Drosophila melanogaster: one gene and its partners. The protein of the gene in region 1 interacts with the protein of each later gene in a pairwise test. Each region holds a gene or a part of one and is shown on either strand. Other genes may lie near its edges. The genes, in order: Lgr4, CG11409 and CG7379.

Evidence for each region.
Region 2: the proteins of Lgr4 (region 1) and CG11409 interact in a two-hybrid assay, tested with the Drosophila melanogaster proteins (one large-scale study listed by BioGRID).
Region 3: the proteins of Lgr4 (region 1) and CG7379 interact in a two-hybrid assay, tested with the Drosophila melanogaster proteins (one large-scale study listed by BioGRID).

What each region holds. Positions count from the first base shown.
Region 1 is NC_004354.4:13,185,741-13,191,846, reverse strand, and holds the start of Lgr4 (Leucine-rich repeat-containing G protein-coupled receptor 4), read left to right. Parts: upstream 1-2,682; 5' UTR 2,683-2,918; coding exon 2,919-2,937; exon of another isoform or gene 2,938-3,032; coding exon of another isoform or gene 3,033-3,042; intron 3,043-6,106. Other genes in the region: CG12723 (uncharacterized protein), read left to right, coding at 75-845, 911-1,811, 1,875-2,080.
Region 2 is NC_004354.4:1,337,930-1,344,461, forward strand, and holds the start of CG11409 (uncharacterized protein), read right to left. Parts: upstream 3,659-6,532; 5' UTR 3,396-3,658; intron 294-3,395; exon of another isoform or gene 1-293. Other genes in the region: Naa30A (N(alpha)-acetyltransferase 30 A), read left to right, coding at 4,563-5,285, 5,361-5,606, 5,850-6,014.
Region 3 is NT_033777.3:17,794,729-17,800,384, reverse strand, and holds CG7379 (uncharacterized protein), read left to right. Parts: upstream 1-2,080; 5' UTR 2,081-2,275; coding exon 2,276-2,417; intron 2,418-2,498; coding exon 2,499-3,451; intron 3,452-3,512; coding exon 3,513-3,719; 3' UTR 3,720-4,009; downstream 4,010-5,656. Other genes in the region: CG17803 (uncharacterized protein), read left to right, coding at 1-700, 757-1,077, 1,145-1,385; pasi1 (pasiflora 1), read right to left, coding at 4,307-4,390, 4,472-4,522, 4,585-4,684, 4,746-5,020.

The DNA of each region.
Region 1 (6,106 bases):
TAAACGCGAGGCGAGGCGATATATTACATAGTGTCCAAATATACGCATATAGAAATCAAGTCCACTGAATCGAAATGAATCTCTTGGCCAGTTCGAGGAGCCTCCATCTTCTGATGGTCTTGGCTGTCATCTTGGTTTCTCATCGAGCTGAGGCGGGCTTACGTTTGCGTCACACCAGTCGATCGGTCACGCCCCCCGCCAGCACAACGCCCACTTTGACAGTGACCTCCGAGGATGCCCCGCTACAAGAGGAATCGGTGGCGGAGAGTGCCCCAACGGCCAGTGTGGTTACCGAACCGGAAACGGAAGTGGAGGTCACGACCGGAAAGCACAAGCGTGGCATTCTACACGGCCACGCCCACCTGCACGGCCAATGGCCCGCCCGCACCTATGCCGCCCACTACGGCTATAGCCTGCAGCTGCCAGGAGGCAGTGCCTTCCTGGCCGCCGCTCCTCCGCGCCGCCACTTCGTCAAATACGGCCATGGTCTGGTCAAGCCGCTCGTTTCCGGTTCCGGTTTGCTGCCCGCCTTAGCTCCCGCACCCGCTGCCCTGCTGCCCGCCGTCGCCTCAGCCCTGCCCGTTGGATTGCCCACCGGTCTGCCCGGTGGCGTGGCCAGTGCCATTCCCGCCGGAGTCGCTACTGCCTTGTCCACCGGCGTGGCCACCGCTTTGTCCACCGCCGTGGCTCCGCCCTCGTACGTCCTGCGTCCCGGAAATGCGGTCGTCTCCTCGTACAGCGTCAACTATCCGCACCAGCACCTGCAGAAGCCCGTGGTCTTTCAGTCCGCCGTAAAGCCTGTCCACTTCCATGCTCCGGCTCATGGCCATGTGCATGCCGTGCAGGTGAGTTAGCTACATAGGAAACTTGTGGAATATCCCGTTGACCATTTCATTCTTTTCTGTTGCAGCCCACTTATGTGCAGACCTATGCTCCGACTGCTCCGGCAGTGCCTGTTCAGCCCGTGCAGCCAGTGCAGCCAGTTCATCATCTCCAGCCCATTCAGCCCCTTCAACCGGTGCAACCGGTGACCACCCATCTGCAGCCAGTTAGCCCAATCCAACCGGTTCAGCCCCTTCAACCGGTTCAACCCATCCAACCTACAGTGACCTTCGGTGTTCCGTCTCCCCCAGCTGTGGATTTGCCGGTGATCCCTCAGTTCCCACAACCGCCTCAGTTCCCCGGTGTGCCGACCTTTAGCTTCCAGCCCGCTCAGCCAGCGGTGCCAGCCCAACCCGCTGTGCCCGCCCAGCCGGCAGTTCCAGCTGCACCAGAAGCCCCAGAAGTGCCACAGGTTCCCGCCATTCCACAGATTCCGGCCATACCGCAGATACCCCAAATACCACAATTTCCCGGATTCCCTCAATTTCCCGGCTTTCCCCAGATTCCCCAGTTCCCCCAGGCGCCAGCCATTCCATCACCTCCCTCCGTTCCAGGAGTTCCAGCTGTACCCACGGTCCCGGCCTTCCCCAGTCCACCAACTAGCCAATTCTTTCCGGCTGCTCCACAGCCACCATTGCCGCAGCAGCCACCCACTTTTGGCCAACCAGAGTCGCAATTCCCCGGCGGAATTGTACCGCTGCCGGGCTCCACTCCCGTCCGCCCTGAATCCGGCACGGGTATAGCCTCGCCGCAGATTCCCCCACAATCACCCGAGCCGGAGACGCCGTCGGAGGTGCCACCACAGCGGCCATCCGTCCAGCAGCCCTGGAAGCCGGTATTCTATAGTCCACCCACCGAATCCGCGCCAGCGTCGCCGAATCGACCCTCGATCACCCTGCTCCCGCCATACGGAAGTGCGCCAGCTGAAGGTGAGCTCAGATGACGTTATGGATATATATTATTATGCTATATTTCAAACGAATATTTTCCAGGTTACCTGCCACCCGTGGGATCCCAACCGTCGGCCCTGAGTGCCAGTAGTGCCGGAATCGGTGGTCAGGGCGGCATCTTTGACCAGCTGACCGATGCCGAGCTGGAGCACATTTTCGCCCAGGCCAACTTGGCGCAGCAGCAGCACCAGCAGCAGCAGCAGCAGCAGCAACAGCAGCAACAGGGCCACAACTACCACCACTACTGAGTCCACCACTCACTCCACCTAGGGATCTTTTCAAATTTTTTTTTGTTTTTTTTTTTTAAGCCTTCGTTCATTTGTGCTCTACTTGTATTGTAAATTATGTTGCTATTAAATAAGTTATTTATCGAAAAATTGAACAGATCGTTTATTTATTGCGTAATAATAATAAATATAATAAATAATTTAAATAACTAATTCTATTGCAAAGTATATGCGAGATATAGACATAATATCTTAGTTTATTTCCTTTTGGCACATACATATTATCTATTTGAATTTCATTAGGAAATTCCCTTTGGCTCGGCGCATTTTCATTTCCTGAGCTTTTCCGGCGCGCGCTTTTCCCCCAAAGGGCTTTTCACCTTGAACTTGGCGTTCGTTGGTTTCTTTGGAGCTTTTCCCGTTCAGCTTTTCATTCATAAATTGCCAGCCGGCGCGCTGAATGAGTGCGTTGTGTGCTTGGTTGGGTGAAAAGTGGGCGGTTGGGCGGTCGGCTGGGCGGCGCCAGTGGGCGGGGCACCTGGAAAGGCCGCATGCCACATGTTGCAGGCATTCGCTCGCCTTTTTTTCAGCTCAGTTGTTTGTTATCGTTGGCGGCGAACGCGCGTCTGCTGCGGACCAAAAATCGACTATATTCCGACTATATACCGCGCATATATATTTTTGGATCCACCGATCCGCGATCTTACACATTGAAGTGCGGCGAAGTTTTATTTTGATTTTGATTCTTTTTGGTTTTTTTTTGTTTTTTTTTTGTGCTGTGCCCATCAGAGTCTATAATTAAATATTGTTTATTGCCCGTTGAGACGGTGGAAGAAAAAAAAAGCGAAGAACTCCCTGGATGTCAATAGCGATCATGCGTACGTCCCGGAATAATAAACAATACCCCTTTTTTTGTTTGTGTGTATATTTATCGGTGCAGTTATAGAGAGATGCCAGATATCCCCCGATTCCAATGTGTATAGGTTTTTATCTACTTTATTCGCAATGTTTGTGTGGCATTTTAACGCGAATCGAAATAATAAACCCGGCCAAGATATTGACCATCTGCGGATGTGAAAGTGCCTGGGATTTTCGATGGTTGTGTGAATGTTATCCATGCGATAATTGAGGGTTTATAATTTAAGTGTGCTACCTTTAGGAAATTCATATGAAATATACATATATGTATATATAGGAGGGTATTTCAAGTTTGGATTCAAATTGAAATTAAAGCTAAGACAACATAAAGAATACAAAAAAAAAAAAAAATCATTGAGAAAAATGGCATGAAATCGAATACAGGCTTGAACATTTTTTAAATGGATAGTGATGGCAAAAAGTATACAAGCCAAAACTTTCGAAAATGAAATAATTTTACAAAGAAATTCCAAAAGTTATATGCACGAAAAGGTGCAAAAGTGATGAAAGTTCTGGATGTTTGACAAAGTTCAAAGGGCACCAAGAAGTTTTTCGAATAAAGTTTGAGCTCGAGAAAACATAAATGTCCGCGAATAAAAAGTGCATTAGATACAAAAGTTTTTCTTTTTTTTGCCGGTGCGTTGCTCAATTTTTTTTTTATGTTTAAAGTTATATAATAAGAGTACTGAAAGAGTTTGCAAATAAATAAATGAAACTATTTAAGGCATACAAAGAAATGCTACGAATTTTTGGAATATACATATAGAAATGATGCAGGTTTTCTTAGGTGTAAAAATGTAAAATCATTATGCCAAAACATTTTACACAATCCAATCAAAATGTTGATGATTGACAGGAATTCGCGTTGGGCGGTTCGAAAAATGCACCGAATTTGTATTTGTATCGAAACGATTTTCAATTAAAATTCTGTTCCAATTTGCATATTAATTTATGTTATTAAAATGGAGCTGACGCCTCAATGTCTGGTATTTTGCGCCATCTCTGTCGCTCCCAGTGCCGGCAATGTCTATTTCTATCTCTGTCGATCGATGGGTCTGTGTAAAAATTTTGTAATAAAATGTCATTAAGTGTAAGTGCGTGGTGCCGTTTAGATTTATGTGCCCGAATGAATTGCAAATGCCTAGGCGAGAAGGATATGTTCGGTTTGGAAAAGTTGAAAGGGTGGTCTGCACTGGTCCAGGGTGGACTAGGGTGGCCCAGAATGGGAGCCCACCGGTCTCCTTGTGGTTCCGGTGGCCAGAAAACTGGGCGCTGACCTGACAACGCTTGGTGCCCCAAAGTTGTGTTATTAGTTGTAACTGCGTTGGCAGCTTAGACAAATCCGTTCATCCCCACTATATAGCACAAATATATACATACATATATTATATATAGACATATATATATATATATATATATATATAGCTAGCGCCCTGGCTACGGGGATTATTTGTCTAGTCCCACCCCACAAACCACATCTTTTAATGAGCCACCGAAAACCAAGTGGAATGTGTCAATTAAGTGGGGGTAGTCTCCCTTCAACATCCCCCCCCTTCAAATTCTATTAAATTCACCAAAACTATTTGCGTAAGCTGCTTGGGGTAATTATTAGTTTTTTTTTTCTTTCTGTATTTATTATAAGCTTAGTCGCGGGATTGTTTAATGATGGCATTTAGTTACGTTTTCCTGTATCCACTGGCAAAATATGGAAAATATTCAACATATCTTTAAAAGTACAAACATTTTGTACTTTCTTTAATTGTATGATATTATATTTAAGGCAACCACTCTAATTAACGAAAACGGGATTGCATATCGATGGCCAGGGTATGAGAAAAATGTGAAATTCTAGTTACCAATTGGCCCAGTGTTAATTGCTGTTGATTTTCCTTCAAAACGCTATGTTGTGTCCTTCGTAAGACATTATCCTAGTTACAAAGCTTAAGCTGGGTAAAGGAACCCTGGCGAAACGGAAATAACAAATTGTAACTCAGGTAGCGGAACTCTTAAATCGAAAGGGTTAAAGTGCGTGGCCCACAATTGTTTTTCTTTTGAATTCGCCCCCTCGATTTTTCGTAACTGTGTAAGTGGAAGCCTGGCGATTTGCCACTTAAGCACTTGTCGCCGGCGGGCAAATGCCAACCGAAAATATGCGGATATGGCTCTGGAGTAATAATCCCCATATACCCATATACCCATTTTGCAACCAACTTCGGTATTCCGCCTTTAGGTAATTTGAATACGGCCAGCAATCGTTATTTATGGGACGGCGGTTCTACAGTTTCAGTTGGTCCGCATGTGGGTGCACTGCAGCGGATCCATTAGCATCTAGTCGCACACTCGAATAAATATGTGTACAGTTTAACAGAGAGTTTGGGTCTAGTACCATGTGCATGGGTACTAGATACGAAATATGTAAATAAATAAATAAGTAAATAGAAAGATACATAAATGTACATACATACATCCCATTTTAAGGAAATGAACTGACCTGTTTTTTAAAACACTATCAATTTTTCATCTTTATTGTTTTTAAATTTCCAAATTTTACACTAACATATTTTTTCGAGTGTCCCCAGATTGCTAAGCATCCCCGTCCATGTCCGTATCCGTATCCGTGTCCGTATCATTATCCGGCGTACGCTAATCGATGCCCACGACATCCGACGTCCGATGTCCAATTTCCAGAGGGCCAATGAATTGAAGGCCCACTATCAAGTTTCGGAGCGTGGGTCCAGTCCAGATCCACTCGGGCTTTTAAGTTGATCAAGTAATCCATACATATAATTTTGTGGTGTTCTTTTTTGAGGCGTCGCATAATTGAATTGCCAATGGTGGCGGCAATGACAGTACAGTGCCCGCCATAAAGGTTATGCCTCATTAGGGGTTCACTCGGAAGTGTTTCGTGGTGTTCAGCGTTCAGCCGTTGAGGCCTCAAGGCATCTTATTCTAAATCCGAAGCGGACATGTTAGGCGTTCTGAATGATTGGCGAGAAAAAAGCGAGGATAAAACGGAATGGGCCGGGAAAACCCCGAATGGAAAGTGGATTGGGTTTGTGATTGGGGCGGGGTCATATACATAGCTCTTATATGATTGAAATGCGAATGGATCAATTCCTCTATTTGGGT
Region 2 (6,532 bases), about 12 Mb from region 1:
CGTTCGCCGCGCACTCCTAAAAATCCAAATTTAAATCGAATCGAGACGCTTTTTCACAACTTCAGAGGCGTCAAACTTTCAATGCACACGGAGCACAGCACACCACACTGTTAAAAAAAATCGAGGAAGGAAAAACCGAAATTAAATCGAAGCAAAACGCGAACACGCGACTGTCGCTTGGCTTCTGTGTCGGTATCGATATAGATAGATAGCGGACTCGGTTTTGTTTCGTTTTCGGTCTCAATCGCATGCGCGGCCTGCAGACCATTTTCAATGAGCGTTCGCAGCGTACTGAACCCGGCCGAAAGTCGTCTTGGCCAACTTCGCTGCTGCTGCTGCTGCTGCTGCTGCTGCTGCTGCCGCCGCAGCTGCTGGTGCTGCTGCTGCGGCTTATGCTGCTACTACCGCTTTTGCTGCGGCGATCTGGCTCTTTAGAAGTCGGGGCTAGAAAACACTGGATGCTGAGTGCTTTGATTAGATGCATCCATTTAATCCCATTTGAAATGCATGGCATAAACTTACATTTCGTAGCCTAGATTCGGTGCTCCAACTTGCTGGCCTCACATATACGATACCATCTATTAGGCTCGCTTGGAGCCATTACATAAATTGGTTCATTGTAAAAACACACTTAACACAAAGCAATTTAAAAAGGCATGTTAATGCACGTCATGTGCCGACACTCGTACTATACTAGACTGTTATATGTACTGCAATAACATTTGAAATAGTAACCATACGGCTCAAGCTTGCATTGAGTTAAACTATTTTGCTGCAGATTGAACGATTTTAGCACCTAATAATAACGAGGCCTCATCTCGAATGATTGGCATGACATAGCGATAGCAGATTGCTAGTTGGCTGGTTCTTTAAGTACTGCCCTGGGCAACGCAGGGTGCAGCGCTCTGGCGCCGAAGTCTCAATTAAAAATCGATTTGGCTTAGAAGACATTTTTGGGAGGGATTACGATCGCGACGCGAGGCCGGTCGTGGTAACCGCTGATCGCCCAGCTCCCATCAAATCGGTTGATCGCCGGTTAAAAGTGGCTGGCTTGCCTTGACCAAGTACACTGCGAACGATGATAAGACGGAGCATGGCTCTGGCCAGGGAAGGTGAACAGGTAAACAGCACTCTGCCGTGGATGCAGACGGGTTTCTGCTAGCGCACGGGCATTTCACTTCGGCCAGCTTCTTTCCCCCATTGACAAATTCGATTGGTTCGGTTTTCTCTGGCTTTCTGCTGCTGCGCCCCGCAATGTAGCGGACTAATATTGGTTTGGTTTTTATTACCATGTGGTCTCTGCTCTGCTCCGCTCCGCTTGCATAATAAAACTCACGCACAAGGAGCGCGGCCAGCCATGGTCTGTATATAGCCGTTCAACGATCGAAGACCGTCGATGGGCCTCAATGAACTCGGGCTCCAGTGCTTCCCATCGCTGCCACTCGATCGCTCTGATCCCTCCGGACTTCAAGTGGACCGGCCGGGAAAATCCATTGGGTTTGCAAAACATGAGAGTTCTGTCTTATCTTACGATTACTGCTACAAATTTAAAGACGCAGTTAAACCTAGTTTCTCAATAGGGCCACACACAGGCCACAAACGTTGGGCTCATTTTGCGCTTGGCACGTTTTGCTCGAAATAATTAAAACGATTTTTGGTTATTTGTAACATTTGCCATTTGCACACAACGGTGTTTACCGCCTCGCCGCAAAAAAGGGAGGCTGAGGCTGCTTTTTTGTGTGTGACAACATTTGACACAATTTAACGCTGACGCGACACATTCGTCTGCGGTTTTAGTTTGCTTAGCTCAGCTCGAGCCGCATGCCTTATGCTTCACTTAAGTTGTTTTGGGATGGGTAAGGTACATAGGTGGAACTAGGGGTAGGGTTTGGCCAGGTGCTTCACATTTGGAGCGCATGCGCTTTGACTTTGCCATTTGCGCACACTCGCAGCATTGCGACACGGCAAACAACAAAGCCCCAAAGGAAACCGAACTAAAACAACCAAAAATATATAAACGAAAACTCAGAAAAATTACGAAGCCCATAACTCTTGACATGACACGGCCAAATGCTCGGGAGAATGGAGTGGGGCTCGGCTTGGAGCTATGGAACTATGGAGCTATGGAGCATCGCGCAAAAAGTGAATTGCTTTAATGCGCCGTGGATGTGCAAAATAAAATTGGTCAAATACCCAGGTCGCAGGCCAAATACCCTAATACCCTTAGGTGGCCTTAGCATACGTAGCTCTTGACTTATAGAACCAACTTCACTGACGAACCAACTGACAATGCTATGTCCGTTGGCTGGGGAGCCGCCAGTTACCATGATCAACCGACACAAAAAATATAGTTTAAAACAAGAAGTCCATGCCATTGTGGCCAAACTGCATATATCATTTCGTCACGTGGGTGCTAAGTGCTAAATTGTATCTCTATCTTTTAGAGATCTCCGCCAGCAAGGTGATAAGGCGTTGGCTGCGGCACCTGTCCGCTCCCGCTCTCTCCCCTTTCTTCGTTACCCTTTCTCCGCCACTGCTTTTACTTTATTCGGCCATTCACTTTCTCCGTATGTTGTTTGCTTTGCTAATTTTGGATTTGCCCGCGTCACTGCAGCAACAGCGAAAAGTGAAACAGACGTCCAGAAAAACGGACGCCAACTTGCGCTTGCAAGTTCGTATGCAAAATTTCAAGAAATTATCCAATCGCGTGGCTCGGATTATTCAATTTCAGTCAATCAAATTCAAGTCCAATTCCGTATGCAAAGTAGGCTATGCTGGTCCGAAAGCAGATCGAAGATCGAGACCGCCTGGCCTCCCCAGCCGATTTCGTCACCAGCTAGTGCTGATGTAGTCCCAGTTCTGGGGGCAGCCAGCCCAACTGAGAGGCAACGACATCGGCCATGCCGAGTTCGTTCGTTACCCAAGTCTTTCGATTATGACGTTGGGAGGAGCTGGAGTCCCCATCAAAGCGACGGGCTATAACGCTAAAACAGTCGACTGATTGCCGTCGTTAAAAATCCACAAAATTGACAGCAAACGGCAGGCGGATTTCTCCTGGCAGTTACCACATACATATGTACATACATTGTAAAATCAGGGGTTATATTTTCATTTGACTCGAAACCTTTGCAAGTTCCGAATAATCCTGCGTTCTCAACCAAGACAAACGGCAAGGAAAGTGGAGGAAGTGCAGATCTCAGGAAACTGCGGATTAGTGACTTATGTGACTTATATGATTCGAGATTGTAATTTGGTTTTATTGCATTTGATTTAGCTGTAATTTATGGATTTTATTTTATGGCGAATGCTAATGGCGCGAAAAGGAAACCAAAAGTAGGCGAAGGTCGCACTGCAGAGTTATTAATTAGTACAACTGAATTTAACTAGTAACTTACCAATTGAAGAACGTTTTTAATAGTTTGGAAATCACAAAACAAAAGAGACAAAAAAATAAGCGCAGGAGAAAACACGCACGTACACACAAACACACACACGTATACTTTTAAATGGCGAGTGTAAGTGAACATACGTTTCGAGCAATTTATTGGACTTCCATCCGTTTTCGGGTAACATTTCGATGCTACTCATTGCCACGACATGCACTTAATTATAACTAACACTTCAAACTGATTTGCAGCACTTTTTTCAAACAAAAGTCCCGTAAATCAAAAATCTTTACGCCGTAAAATAGTTGCTTCTTCTTTAAGAAGAAAAGGAAGAACAAGAAGAGAACTTTGAAATGAGCAGCTTCTTCTTCTTATTATTGATCCTCTTTTCCGTTATGTACAGCACACCCTCGCAAAAAGGCACAAGCTGACGATCTAATTTGGCAAAAGTATTGCAAATACAAATAAGTTAACATTCCAAAGTCAGAAATTAAATGGCAGCTATAAAGAATATAGGTATGAGAATATTACGTTTAAAGATTGTAATAATATTACAAAGATCAAATCTAATCAAATATCAAATATATGAACATTTGCGATGTAAGGTGCATGCCAAATATAAATTTGATAAAATCAACGTAGTTTTAGATTTTATTTAATATAATTTTTAAATATTTTCATTAATCTTAGCTGTTAATTTAATAGTAATAATATCAATTGATAATTCGATAGCCGATAGTCACAGTTGGCCGGCGATGATTGTATCGATAGTATCGAGTGCCAATCGATTGCTGTTACAGCTGTTCGCGCATATGTGTGGGTGGGATTTATTCATAGCAAGGAAAATTACGAGTTTTGCGGATATAGGATTTTACATAAGTTTGCCATGCACACGCACTAGCGCCACAAATCGAGATCGGATTGATCGATCCGGAACTCCGAATATCGGAAGCACAACAAAGAGGACGGCCGACTGCCCCATGTGTGCGTGCGCGAGTGTGTGAGTATGTGCGTGAGCGTGTGCGTGTGCGTGTGAATGAAAAACCATCAACTGTGAAAATATAACCAAAAATAAGTCCGAGGCACACGGTTGCAGGCGAGGATTACCAGTCCTCCCAGATAAGCCCCGGAGGAGCAGCAGGTTCCCTCTTAGAGCCAATTCCGTCGCTTTTCAGAATGGCGGATGCCCAGGCAGCGGCGGCCGGAAAGAAGAAGTACAAGAACAAAAAGAACTCAGCGGAGAAGAACCCCAATCACAATCCAAATTCCAGTGGCCAGGTGGAGGCACAGACACCCAGCAATGGACACGTTCAGCACCAAGAGGAGGAGGCGACGGAAGACCAGGAGCCAGCGCAGGAACTCAGAGGCCTGCTTAAAAAGATGCACCTTTGCAATGGCCATGGTCACAAGGAGCAGGAGGCTCGGCCGCTTGGGGAGGTCGTCAATGGCCATGCACATGGGCACAGCAACAACAATCACATTCGCTGCACAAGCGGCAGCAGCAACAACAACAACAGCACTCACAACAACAACAGCGTGGACAGCAGCAACAACAACCGCAAGCAGCGAAGAGAAGGAGGCGACGGCGGAGGATCGGATTCGAACTCCCTCAAACCGGAGGAGAAGCCCATAACAGCCACAAGCAAAACCACTGCCAACATACACCCAACCACAACGACGGACCCAAAACCAAAAGTGTCGGAGGATGTAGCTGTGGAACAGGGAGTGCATGTGGCGACGGGGAGTGGCCACAGTCGGGAGCAGGAGAGGAAGCAACCGCCCTCCGACTATGCAGAGGGGGCCACGCCCACCATTACAGCACAGCTCCAACTGCCGGAACCTGCCATTTCAGCCGACGAGATCGTATATAAGGAATACGAGGCTGAACACCAAATGCATGTGAGTACCTCCAAGTATGACCAAGTGCGAACTGTGCGCAACACTTATCTAATTCCCCGCATATCGAACACGCAGGACATCATGCGACTGATCCAGGCGGAGCTGTCCGAGCCGTACTCGATATACACGTATCGCTACTTCATCTACAATTGGCCAAAACTCTGCTTCCTCGCCTCGCACGACAATCAGTACGTGGGCGCCATCGTGTGCAAGCTGGATATGCACATGAACGTGCGGCGCGGCTACATCGCCATGCTGGCCGTGCGCAAGGAGTATCGCAAGCTCAAAATCGGCACCACGCTGGTCACCAAGGCCATAGAGGTAGGATGTCTGGGGCATCTTTCCCTTGCAATAAGTTATAAATCGGGTTGCATGTAATCGATGCTCGATATGTGTGTTACGGAACAATTATGTGTTGTTAACTATGGATGAAATTGCCATCAAAGCTCACCAATGGCTCCTCGAGCCTCGAGGTATACTTTCGGGCACATTGGCGAGGGATACATACCAACTACCTCTCTTTCTGTGAAAACTTATATCACACTGCAATTTTCCCATTTGCAGGCAATGCTGGCCGACAATGCCGACGAGGTGGTGCTTGAGACGGAGATGCGTAACCAGCCGGCTTTGCGGCTCTACGAGAACTTGGGCTTCGTGCGAGATAAGCGGCTGTTCCGCTACTATCTTAACGGGGTGGACGCGCTGCGGCTGAAGCTCTGGTTTAGATGAGTGGACCCGGCGGCTGCCGTTGAAATTGTTGTCTAAGTAGCCGCCGAAGATGTCGAGATCTGCGCTCTGCGGAGGACCAGGGCGCTCCCCTCGTCCTGGGTCCTGGCCAGCTGGCAGCTTGTATCGGCGCCCTCTTTTTTGTACCTATTTAACTAGGAAGCATCGTAGCATCAGTTTATTTTCTCCCCAACTCACACCGTCCCTTGTCTCTCTTTCATTTGTAAATTATTTTATTATGTAGCAGCAGCAGTACGAGCAACATCTGCTACATATGCAGGAGCAGCACGAGCAGCACACAACGGACCCGAAATTTGGTTAATTTTACAGGAGGCAATTTTGTATGCAATACGTGATTTACATGCATAAAATTAAGCATTAAAGTCGTAAGCAAGCAATTAGTTATGTACATTAAACAATCTACAAAAACCAATCTAGGGAATAGACAACAACATGAAGCAGCAGCGCAGCACACGCTCATCGACGCCCATTTACAAAGCTATAAACATAGTATCAAATTT
Region 3 (5,656 bases), on another chromosome or scaffold:
AAATCTGTGACGAGGAAATGGAGTCGGAGCTGGAAAATGTGCTCTACGAAGAGTCCGCCCAGCAGGCAAAGGGAGTCGTAGGACTAGAAGATTTCAGCTCAGAGTTGTTGCCGGATAGTGAGGGTGTCCTGGATGAAGACGACTTTCCACTGGATGCAGAGCCAACTCAGTTTTCACTAAGTGAAGATGAGTTGGATCTAGACAGAGACACAGAAAAAGACTTTGCTTTGGAGCAAAACAAGTCATGTAATGAAATAATTAGCATACGAAAGTGTAAGACTAAGGAAGAGATTGGTAAGGTAGATCACGGAGCCAAGGTCTATAAGGTTGTGCTCGGTGAGTACAATAGCCTAAAGGAAACTGCACCAAAGTATTCGCTTTCACTACCAAAGAAACCTCAACTAAGGGTGAGTCCAGAGGAGAAAAACCGAAGGCGCCGCGAAAGGATACAAGCGAAGCCATTGAACTATGTCTGCGACAAGTGCGGCCACACCTTTCGCCAACGCAGTCAGCTGCAGATGCACTTGCTCCGTCACAATAGGGCCAAGAATTTCGAGTGCCCCGAATGCCCGAAGAAATTCTACGATCTCTATACGCGCAACATTCACGTAAGAGCGCTGCACAAGGGCGAGCATCCCTTTCCCTGCAACCATTGCAATGAGTCCTTCGCAAACGCAAGCAGTCGTCACAGGCACGAGAGGTGAGTGCACCTACTATTTGATGGTTCCATCATCTAATCACTTCGATTGACTCCAGGGATGTTCACGGAGCAGGCAATCGGATTCGAACGCGGGTGAAATCAAAGGAAGAGGGATCCAGTCGCCATTACTGCACCCAGTGCACCAAAAGTTATACCAGCAAGAAAGGTCTAGTCCTGCACATGAACTTCCACAACGGAAGCAGACCCTTCCAGTGCAAGATTTGCCAGATGAAATTCGCTGACCCATCTGCCATGAAACGACATCAAGCTTTGCACGACAAGTTTCCCATTCGCTGTGACATCTGCCTAAAGGGATTCCTGCTGCGCTCCCAACTAACAAAGCATCAGGATGTACACACAGGAATGCATCCTCATCGGTGGGTGCAAAAGAGAATCCCGACTACTGTCCGTTTACTTATTTCTTTACTTGATTTATATTGCCAGGTGCGAGATCTGCGATGTTCACTACCGCCATAGATATAATCTAAACAAACACAAAAACACCGATTTGCATCGGGATAATATGCAGAAAGCTATAAAAGAAGAAGTTAATGGACTGCAACAAGCATTTAAAGATATTGATAAGGAAATGGACTTTGAATCTCAAACACCAATGCAGCCAAATGCACAGGAAGTGCGAGCCAGAACTCAGGATGAAAAGACTCAAACTATTGAATATATATAATTTTTATAAAAATTTATATACTTTCATGGCGAAGTACGTAATACTTCTAAGGTGACGTTTAGTAAGTGCCGACATAGAAGATAATGCACGAACAATATTTTAAAAATATATAATTCGTATAATAGTATTATGCATTTAATAACGTTAAGCTTAATGAAGAATAGACTTGACAACCTAAATACAAATCTGAATAGTTCAGACGTATGTTTCATGAAAGGAACAATAAATATTTATATTATTAATATTAAATAATAATCAATTAAAAAATAATATAAGTGCATTTGTTTTTCCTAATTAAAAAATCAGCTGATACTGTTATTTGAAATTCTCCAGTTTCCCGGGCAAATGAGTAAGGGGTTGGTTTTGAACGTTTCCTACACTGGCCGTTGAATGAATGATACATGATTTTAAAATTACGATAATTGTAATAAAATGAATACAAAAAAAGGACTGAAAGTAATAATTAAATTTGTATTTAAAGGGAAAATATTTTTAATACTTTCTATTGCCTAGGGAAATGATGAGAAGATATTTGACCACAAACTATTAAAACCAATATTACTTATTTATTAAAAAATTCAACCGAAACAGCAGTGCCGTTAACCACCCCGATTTCAGTGTAGCAAAACACCAGCCGACTAGTGTTGCAAAGCACAACCACCCATTGTATACATACATATAAATAATACCTACGCACACATACACGCACACACGAGTACAGTCGCAAGTTGCGACTCGCAACGCCATACAAAAAGTTGGAACTGAGTGGAATCGGAGTACTATATAGCCAGCCGATCCCTTCCAGAGCGCCGGAAGAGTAGCTCACATCCGAACCCACGTCCCCGAGCCGATGTCGCGGCGGGAATAGAGCGATTCGCAGTCCAAACACGATGATAAACCCCATTGCATCCGAGTCGGAGGCCATCAATTCGGCCACCTATGTGGACAACTATATCGATTCGGTGGAAAATCTGCCGGACGACGTGCAGCGCCAGTTGTCACGCATCCGCGACATAGACGTCCAGTACAGAGGTGAGTTCTGGCCGAGATTACGCCTGTTGGAAAAGCGGAAAACCTAACCTCCTCTCTTGGTCCAAACCCGTCGATTTGCAGGCCTCATTCGCGACGTAGACCACTACTACGACCTGTATCTGTCCCTGCAGAACTCCGCGGATGCCGGGCGACGGTCTCGAAGCATCTCCAGGATGCACCAGAGTCTCATTCAGGCGCAGGAACTGGGCGACGAAAAAATGCAGATCGTCAATCATATGCAGGAGATAATCGACGGCAAGCTGCGCCAGCTGGACACCGACCAGCAGAACCTGGACCTGAAGGAGGACCGCGATCGGTATGCGCTCCTGGACGATGGCACGCCTTCGAAGCTGCAACGCCTGCAGAGCCCGATGAGGGAGCAGGGCAACCAAGCGGGCACTGGCAACGGTGGCCTAAATGGAAACGGCCTGCTTTCGGCCAAAGATCTGTACGCCTTGGGCGGCTATGCAGGTGGTGTTGTGCCTGGTTCTAATGCCATGACCTCCGGCAACGGTGGCGGCTCAACGCCCAACTCGGAGCGCTCGAGCCATGTCAGTAATGGTGGCAACAGCGGCTCCAATGGCAATGCCAGCGGCGGAGGAGGCGGAGAACTGCAGCGCACAGGTAGCAAGCGGTCGAGGAGGCGAAACGAGAGTGTTGTTAACAACGGAAGCTCTCTGGAGATGGGCGGCAACGAGTCCAACTCGGCAAATGAAGCCAGTGGCAGTGGTGGTGGCAGTGGCGAGCGCAAATCCTCGTTGGGCGGTGCCAGTGGAGCGGGACAGGGACGAAAGGCCAGTCTGCAGTCGGCTTCTGGCAGTTTGGCTAGCGGCTCTGCAGCCACGAGCAGTGGAGCAGCCGGAGGTGGTGGTGCCAGCGGAGCCGGCGTAGTTGGTGGCAATAATTCCGGCAAGAAGAAAAAGCGCAAGGTACGCGGTTCTGGGGCTTCAAATGCCAATGCCAGTACGCGAGAGGAGACGCCGCCGCCGGAGACCATTGATCCGGACGAGCCGACCTACTGTGTCTGCAATCAGGTGAGTTCGCAGTGCTTTTCCTATCGAAAAGCTTCGCCACTAATCACGTTTTCTATTGCAGATCTCCTTTGGCGAGATGATCCTGTGCGACAATGACCTGTGCCCCATCGAGTGGTTCCATTTTTCGTGCGTCTCCCTGGTACTAAAACCAAAAGGCAAGTGGTTCTGCCCCAACTGCCGCGGAGAACGGCCAAATGTAATGAAACCCAAGGCGCAGTTCCTCAAAGAACTGGAGCGCTACAACAAGGAAAAGGAGGAGAAGACCTAGTCTATTAGGCCAGCCTATCCAACCCATTGCTCTGTGTCTAACACCAGGCTCTGTAAAATATTCGATCCTAAGATTTACCTTAATGTATATTTAGTGACTTTCTTAGACCCGATCCCTTTTCGACTTTCCCCTCTTTCACCCAGTTTAGATCCCTCGCTTCTATGGTTATAGGTCGTCAGTTTTCATTTAAAGTTTCTGTACAAACAATATCTTTCTCAATGTAAACACACAAAAACTCGTATAATTAGAGTACACCTAAACTTAATTTATGGTAATAAACGTTGATATTCAAAACCCACAATAATTTCTTGGCCCCAAGGAGCCCGTATCCAGTAGCAGTAGTTTTACGAATCTATTTGTTTAATTGTCGTTTAGAAGACTAAGGCATTCGAATTACACATAAGTATAATTGATCGTGTATAAATGTGTGTAAAATATATAAATTTATATAAAACTATTTGGTAGGCATCTGTGGAATTGTATGGAATTCTTATTGTAAAAAATGCGCATGGACGGAGTTCTTGTTGCGTGTCAAGTCAAAAAGTATTCTAATAGATTATTCGAGCTTCTGTATGGAGGTTCTTCCATCATGGCATGAGCAGCTCAATGTTCGGATTCTGGATCTCCAGGAATATCTGGTACTGCGAGAAGACCACCAGCCAGCAATAGATCTAAGTGGATGAGTAAAATGGGTTTATAAACATAATGATACAGGAGTTGGTGTTGCTGTCCCTTGAATTTCAAACACTTACATTGTAGGCTACCCAAACGAAGTTCAAAAGGGCCGAGAAGGTTTGCTCCAGCTGGCGGTAGAGTAACACGAATTCATTAGCTTTAGTTAATGGAAAAGATAATCGCTACTCACATAAATATAGTAGCCTCCAATAAGCCAAAGGCTCCAGCTAAACTGGAAGAGAATGGCTAGTCCAATTAGACCCAGCCAGGGTAGCAGCCATCCTCGAGTGCTGAGAAACAGATGCAAGCATGACTATATCCGTACATATAGGAAGCCAGAGCTCGTCTTACCTGATCTTAATACCGTAGTAGACCAAATAGGAAGACAGGATGATTAGCAGGAAGTAGATGATAAAGAAGCCACCTGCCACGGGCATCGACGAACGTATATCCGTCTCAAAGAGCGGGGAATAGAGCTGCGCAGACTCCCCGCCTGCTAGCATATACGAAATCAGCGTGATCATTACGGCGGATAGCGCAGCCGTATAGCCGGCCACGGCATAGCTTCCCGTCCGGACATTATCCGACCAAATTATGGGCGACCAGCAGGAGCTCAGCACTACCATGTTGCTGTGGGAAAACACCGGGAGACACCAATGAACAAACTTCTCCGATCTCAAATTTCTTTGGCTTGCGTGACAGCGTCAACGCCCAAATATTTTGGTCAATGAAAACGCAGTCGAAATGTATGATTTTCTTCTGCTTTTCAATTGATAGCTACTTCTAAAGGTTAACCTTGGATATATCCTTTTAAAATGTCCAGATTGTTTTGGTTTCTAGGGCGTGGGCGTACCTTTTTTTAAATAATAATCGCTTAATTAGAAAAACAACAACGGCTTGAGCAATAGGGTTGCCATGCGTGCGTAAAAAAGGGAATTATCGATATTTATTTAGTTAAATATATCGCGAAAAGTTATGATATGTTTAATAAATTGAAGACATTTTCAGTAAATAGAATGTTTGCAAATTTAAAGTATGAGAATATTTTAATAAATATTATGATTATAAAATTAAAAAGTGTATGATACTAAATAATCGATGACTATCGAATATAAACTGAAACGCGAGTATGAGCACTGTACAGTATATTAAAATATTTATTATGTTTCCTATAATTCTATTAACTAACAAATGTACAGCAATGTATTTTAAGATATATTTATCAAATGTTTAATTTATTATATAATTGGTATATAATATAT